Linked DNA regions of Mus musculus. The protein of the gene in region 1 purifies or fractionates together with the protein of each later gene. This does not show direct contact. Links are inferred from orthologs where the notes say so. Each region holds a gene or a part of one and is shown on either strand. Other genes may lie near its edges. The genes, in order: Bbs7 and Bbs4.

What was found.
Region 2: the proteins of Bbs7 (region 1) and Bbs4 purify together in Homo sapiens (co-immunoprecipitation; 7 studies listed by BioGRID and IntAct, counting the BioPlex papers as one, with this or other methods). This does not show direct contact. The link is inferred for Mus musculus from reciprocal best matches to the Homo sapiens genes BBS7 and BBS4.

What each region holds. Positions count from the first base shown.
Region 1 is NC_000069.6:36,603,217-36,607,042, reverse strand, and holds part of Bbs7 (Bardet-Biedl syndrome 7 protein homolog), read left to right. Parts: intron 1-755; exon of another isoform or gene 756-904; intron 905-1,286; coding exon 1,287-1,359; intron 1,360-2,520; coding exon 2,521-2,637; intron 2,638-3,826.
Region 2 is NC_000075.6:59,343,445-59,347,270, reverse strand, and holds part of Bbs4 (Bardet-Biedl syndrome 4 protein homolog), read left to right. Parts: intron 1-1,419; coding exon 1,420-1,471; intron 1,472-3,131; coding exon 3,132-3,211; intron 3,212-3,826.

The DNA.
Region 1 (3,826 bases):
GGCAGGAGAATCAGAAAACCAACATCATCCTTAGCTTTGTAGGGAGTCTGAGATCTGCCCAGGGTATATGAGATCCTGTGGCAAAATATACAAAGTAGGAATGGGCAAGCAACCAGATAGAAGTTACCTAGCTGATTTCTAGATTTTGCTTTGTTTCATAAGAGGCTATCTGTATTCTTATTTATTTATTTATTTATTTATTTATTTATTTATTTATTTATTTGCTTATTTATCGTTTTATTTTTTTCTAGACATGGTATTACCATGTAGCTTCTGTATGGACCAGAACTTTATAGACCAGGATAGCTTCAAACTCACAGAAATCCACAAGTCTCTGCCTCCTAAGTGCTGGGGTCAAAGGTGTGTGCTATCATGCCTGCCTGCATTCTTATTGTTAAAAATCAATCACCAAGGACGTGTGAAAGGAGAGAACTGAACTCTTTCCTTCTGCTGCACTTATCTCTCCTTTCCTGCCTCTGAGATCACTCCATCCTCTGAACTTGCCTCTTTTACAACTGTGCCTGCTCCTTTTTTGCTTGTAGATATCTATAAATTTAAAAATGATTAATAAAGGATACACATATGCCTTTTTCCCAAGTTCTAAATCTACATTAAAATTTTGTAAGTGGCATAGTATATTCACTGAATTATGTAAGTGGCAAAATTGAAAACAAACAAATAAAACACATAGAAGGCGGCCCCAGCTTGTTTTCTTATCTAAGTAGTAGGCAAGTTTGTCCCTGTGCTGCGGTGAGTCTGCAGAATGCCAGAAGGCCGAGCCAGAGTTTTCTTACGAGCAGCTTGGGGTGCTCAGAGTTTTGAGGGTATTCTATGTAAAGCTCCAGATAATAACGGAAAAGACAGAAGAAATGACACTTGTTACTGGTAATGACGCTTGTTACTGGTGAGTTTTAAAAGGGGTTCACTAGTCTGTGGTTTGCAGATAAGCAAACATGTTAGAAATGTCAACACTCCTCTGTCTAGGGGTTCATTAAGTTGTCTGGTCTTGGATCTGGCTATTATGGATTTTCTTTTACTGATGAAATCCAAAGTTAAAAAATGAAAGCTATTGAAAGTAGAGAATATATTATGTATTTTTCTCCTTGGTATATATATTTTATTTCCAGTGTGTTAATATATGCAAAATTATTGACAAACACATTCATATTTATGACCTGTTTTCTTAAAGCATTTTTATTTGTTTAGATATTGATGTTTCTAATCATTTTCCATATTCTTTTAAATGTTTTTCAGTTTCAGTTTTTAAAATTCTTGTTTCCCTTCAGGGATCTGATGTGATGTATGAAATTGAGGTTCCTGGTCCACCCACCGTCTTAGCACTGCATAATGGAGATGGAGGTAATCGCATTCAGTATCACAGCTGGCCATGATGCAAAGCGGGGAGTTGTTACACAGTGTAGTAGTAGTGTGCTCTCTTCCTCTCACTTCCTGCTCAGTTATGAATTAGGAGTCAGTGAGCTTCCTCATCTTGAAGTCACCTGTAGGGAATACGCTTCACCTTGTGACTACATGGTGACGATTTCATTCTAATATCTATAATCATAGAAAGTAGTTACACGGTGTAGGGGAAACATGCTTGGTTCTCTTTGATGACAGACATTGTTGTCTTAATGAGAGCATAGACATGAAGGTCATATCGTTAGGATTCCATAGGCACCACCTCGAAGCAGAGGAATAATAATAGTCTCGAGTTAGAACTTAAGGGCCAGCTTTCTTAGAAAGAAGAAATGCTAGATAAAGTCATTTTAGTTCAGAAAAATTAAGTGTACACCATTGCATACACTAGCAAGATTTTGCTGAAAGGACCCAGATAGAGCTGTCTCTTGTGAGACTATGCCGGGGCCTTGCAAACACAGAAGTGGATGCTCACAGTCAGCTATTGGATGGATCACAGGGCCCCCAATGGAGGAGCTAGAGAAAGTACCCAAGGAGCTGAAGGGGTCTGCAATCCTATAGGTGGAACAACAATATGAACTAACCAGTACCCGCCCCCCCCCCCGAGCTCGTGTCTCTAGCTGCATATGAATTAGAAGATGGCCTAGTCGGCCATCAGTTGAAAGAGAGGCCCATTGGTTGTACAAACTTTATATGCCTCAGTACAGGGGAACGACAGGGCCAAGAAGTGGGAGTGGGTGGGGGAGTGTGTGGGGGACTTTTGGCATAGCATTGGAAATGTAAATGAAATAAATACCCAATAAAAAAAAGAACTTTAAAAAAAATAAAAGAAAAAAAAAAGAAAAGAAAAATTAGGTGTAACCAAAAGGTATTCTGGCATATATGGAATTTTTTTTCTAATTTTTATAAGTTTATTTTTGGATACATAAAACCAAACTATATATGAATGGTATCATGATGTTTTGATACATATATACCTAATATTTCCCCTTTAAAATTTTCCCTTAATGTAGCATTTGAAAAATGAGATTTTTACATTAAGAGGCTTTTAAAAGGCATTTGTGTTTTTGTTTGTAGTTGTATGTTTGCTTTAATTTTCACTAGGTGACTCTGGAGAAGGACTTCTGTTCGGCACATCAGATGGAAGACTTGGGCTTATTCAGATCACAACATCCAAACCAATACACAAATGGGAAATTCGAAATGACAAAAAGCGGGGAGGTAGGCCTCTGCACAGGTCAAGTTATGGCATGTCGGCAATCATTTAGTACAATAGAGTGTGCAATGCATTCTGTTTGATTTAGTTCTATTAGACAGCGAGCTTAGGGATTTACAGAACCACCTCTGATGTACCTAGTGTTTGCTTATGGCAACTGTTATACTATAGATGTAATTTTTAAAATTAGAAATGCTACTTGTAGTTTGGGATAGACATACAGGTTAATACCCTTTAGTCCATGTTAAACCTTTTAACTGGGATAGAGAATTAATTGGAATCTAGGATATAAAGAATGTAGTAGTGGGTCAGAAACTATTGCAAGTTTTTAAAGACATTATATATTTCCAAAGATTTACACCCAACTTGGCAGCCAGTGAGATGTCTCTTTATACGCACAGGCTATTGCTCATCTGTTCAGGTTTCCTTTAGCAGGTACTTCCTGTGGGCGAGAGCGCAGATGCTGGCGCTGTGCTCTCACTGCCCCTGGTCATCTGAAGAGAACACAGAAACAGTGTGTGTAGAGGGATGGTGGGCACAGCTCCTCGTAGACTCAGTGGTCAGAGGAAGAAGGTGCTGGAGGAAAGGCAAATTTGAGCTGAGATTTGAGGAAAGAATATTCTAAGAGGAAGAAAAATGAATAATTGCAAAACCCTTGAGATGGAGGTGAGCTAGATTCATTGGAGGGCAATGGAAAGACCTGTGTGGCTGAGCAGCAGTGTGGCCTGAGGAGAAGATGCAGGAGCAGGGACAAGGACTGTAGGTCCGTAAAGCCTCGGAAGAGGGGACTTCAGGTAGAGTGCAGTGGGTAGTCCTGGGAGAATTGTATGTGGAAGGTTTGACATGGTCAAATGGATCTGGGAAGAAACACACATTAGAAACATCAAGAGCTTGGAAGCTGTTGTAGTTACCATGGTTTATTATAGTTCAGAGCATCCTGGTTCATCCTTCCTATTATGGAAGTAGAAAGAAGAGAAAGTCGGGATATATGTGGAGGCCATGCATGGGTTTGATACAGAGAGAGAAAAGAGTGATGTCAGAGATAGAGCCTGGAGTTGTTTCGTCTGTACAGCTGAGAGGTGTAATTGACTGAATGGAGGCCAACTGGAGAGTGAGCAGTCCTGAAACACTGTAGTAGAGAAGTGAACGGTGCTTGGGTATGGAAGAGTGTGGGATGCCCGTGTGTACAGGGAG
Region 2 (3,826 bases), on another chromosome or scaffold:
ATGGCTTATAGGCATGCATTACCATGCTTGCTTTAAGGTACAGCTGAGTGTGAAGTTTCTTTTGCCAGTTATTCAGGTGCACACTGTTGTATATGTTGAAGGCAGAGGTTGGAGGAGCCTGAGTTTTAGGCCAGTCTGGGGTATACCCTTTAAAATTAAAGTTTTTGTTTTGTAGCTGGAGAGATGGCTCAGTGGTTACAATCATTTGTTGCTCTTGCAGAGGATCCAGGTTCCATTCTCAGCACCCCAGTGATGGCTTACAAACATCCATGACTCCAGTTCCAGGAGATCTGATGCCTTTTCTGATATCTGTGGGCATGAGGCACATACTTGGTGTATATACATGCAGGCAAAACAGTTATATGCATAAAATAATAAATCTTTCAGACACTTTCTTTTATTGCTTCTGAAAATGTTGCAACCAATATTTCCCTCCTTATATTAAGGCATATAAATAGTCTTGCTGTTCTTGTTTTTGTTTTGAGACAGAGTCTCACTTGTATAGCAAGGCTGTCCTAAATATATCAGGTTAACAACTCTGATATCCTCCTGGCTCTGCCTTCCTGGGTACTAAGATTAATGGCACGTGCCACCACAACTGGCCCTTATTGTGGTATATGATGTATAAAATTAGGGAACTGATAAAAGAAAAATCCACTTAAAGATTTTCTAATAAGTTGCAGTGCTAAGTTAGTACAATATCTTCATATCCAGCATCTTCCTCAATTGCTCTGCACCTTATTTCTTTAGCCAGTGTCTCTGACTGCACCTGGAACTAATGATTGTCTAGGCTGGTGATGATGAGCAGTGCTTGTCTCGAGATTACACACATGCTGTGCCCAGTTTTTACTCGGTGCCTGGAACTTGGGTCTTCAAGCCTGTCCCACAGGTTCTTTACTGCCTGAACTGTCTACTGTCATTTTATCAAACAGAGGCCATGGCTGGGGGTGTGGCTTGGAAGATAAAAGGGCTTGCTACCAAGATTGACAAGAGTTAGGTCCTCATGAGGAACCCACATTGCAGAAGGGGACAAAAGATTCTTGAATGATGTCCCCTCTGTACATACATATGCATGTACACACACATACAAATGTTAAAAAACATTCTGATTTGGCTGCTAAGAAGAACATTAAACATCTTTATGAGGTATTTCATAATTTAGTATATTAATATGAGTGTATGTTGTACATTGTAATTTTGGTACTTATAAATAAACATATACTATGCATTAAGCACTGTGGGCAAGTTGGAGAGCTAAAGAATAGTGCGGTATAAGTCATACTCAGAATGCCTCTTTATGTTTCTTCATGTTATGAATTGAATACATGACTGGTGAGTTACTGCTCATTCTTGTTATGTGAATGTGCTTGCAATTAGCACATGGTGCTGCTTTAACACAGTCATCCTCTTTCATTTCAGAAAACTCAGGTTCCTGCATCTGTTGAATCTCAAAAACCTAGGTCAAAAAAAGGTCTGTATTTAATTTTATTTTATATATGTGTCTATACACATGTGTGAATCTGTGTTTGTTTCTGTTTCATGCATACCAGAGCTTTGTAAAGTATGTTAGGAAAACCAGTAATGGTCAAACTCTTTTTTCTCCTTTTTATTTTTCAAAGATCTATTCATTTTATGTATGTGAATACACTGTCACTGTCTTCAGACACACCAGAAGAGGGCACTGTATCCCATTACAGATGGTTGTGAGCCACCATGTGGTTGCTGGGAATTGAACTCAAGACTTCTGAAAGAGCAGTCAGTGCTCTTAACCACTGAGCCATCTCTCCAGCCCCATGGCCCAGCTCTTACACAATGACTAGTTTTTATTTTATCTAATTAGATTTTATTGGCCTGTAATGTATTTAAATGGTTTTTGGTTATTATGTCAGTATTCATTAATTTCTATTTGTGTTATAAACATTACTTTCTTATACAACCTCCACTAATTTTATGTATATATTAAGTAAGTGTTGCATTGACTTTTTGGGGAGCGGGGGGTTCAAGACAGGGTTTCTCTGTACAGCCCTGGCTGTCCTGGAACTCACTCTGTAGACCAGGCTGGCCTCGAACTCAGAAATCTGCCTGCCTCTGACTCCCAAGTGCTGGGATTAAAGGTGTGTGCCACCACTGCCTGGCACATTGACTTTTTATTTAAAAATTTTTGCCTTGAGATAGGGCCTTGCTTTGTGAGCTTCCAGAGGGAAACATGGCATATTTATTTCTAAGATGGGCTGCACCCATTGCTGTTGACTTGGGACACTTTCTATACTTTAGTTCCCAATTACTGGGATTATGGATATTGCATGCTTGGCTAGTGTGCGGTTTTATAAAAATTCATCCTTGGAAGCCTAGTGAAGACCCGGCCTGTGAAGTGCTACATTTTTGGTCTCAGAGGTGATGTATTGTTGTTGATTTAGAGGAACAAGAATCCTCCATCTGCTAACCTGTGACACTTTAGGAGGACTGACTTCAGGTTGTGACTGTCACTGGGGGATTCTCAAGGGCTTTGGATGGGACGTCCTCCTCCTCATCAGATATTAGAGAAATACCGGAATATTGTTAACAAAAAGACATTAGTTCTGCCATCCATAGGGCTGTTTATTTTAATTGAAATGTTTGTGGTGTTAGGGATTGAGCCTAAGACTATGCACATGCTAGGCAGGTGCTCTTAAGCTAGATCCCCAGCTTCCTCTTTTACTTGTTTCAAAACTTCTTTTTTAATGTATGTGTTGGGGTCTGCTGATCCAGTTTCAATCCCTAGGACCCACATGGTGGAAGGAGAGAACCAGCTTCTTCAAATTGTCCTCTGTGTATGCTATAGTACGTGTACCCACGCATTGTCCTCTGTGTATGCTATAGTACGTGTACCCACGCATTGTCCTCTGTGTATGCTATAGTACGTGTACCCACGCATTGTCCTCTGTGTATGCTATAGTACGTGTACCCACACATGGGGAGCCACAAAGTAAATACAATTAGGAAAACAAGATATTTCCATACATTTCCAAATTCCATGAAGAATTTAATGCACTATTGTAATTGCTTGTGGTTGGTTTAGACATGAGAACTCCGCTAAAGGAGAAAATTTAACACTTACTGTATTGTTTGTTTTGCCAAAATATGCTCTCTAGCTCCAGACTTCCCTATTGTGGAGAAACAGAACTGGCTGATCCATCTCCACTATATCCGGAAGGATTATGAAGCTTGCAAGGTGAGAGACAGGCTGGGCAGACAGACACTGTCAGTGTCTACAGCCCCGTGTGGCAGCTAATAGCTTCCTGCTTTAAACATCAGTATTTTAATCTAAACAATATTTTATCTACCAGCCTTGACTATGATCTTGTCTCTTTGTGTGTTTCTATATAGCAAATAGGAGCAGGTTCCTTCCTGCTTACTGTGGGGATTTTCTCATTGTACTCAAACCCTTTAGTATGACACTCTGTCCTCTCTCCCACCCTCTTATTTGCCTCAGCTCCTCTTCTACCCCTTGCCAACACACAGTTTGAAGCTTTTCATTTTGGGAAGCCTTTCTTAATTCTCTTGGGATGGCTGTAGATGCTGCCTTTTGAGAGTAAGTACCTGGGTCTAGTCTGTCAGAGTAGAGAGCCCATGTGATTTGTTCTCTACTGAGAACCACTAGCGTCTGCCATGGTGCTTGAAACTTTTCTCATGTTTTTCTAGCATGCCTAGTTAGATTTTAACTAGGGGTTGAGAAATTTTTTTTTCTGTTATGGATGAGATAGTAGTTTATTTTAAATTTAATTTTTTGAGATGAGGTTTTCCTCTGTATCTTTGGTCGGCCTTGAACTTGCTAACAGGCCAAACT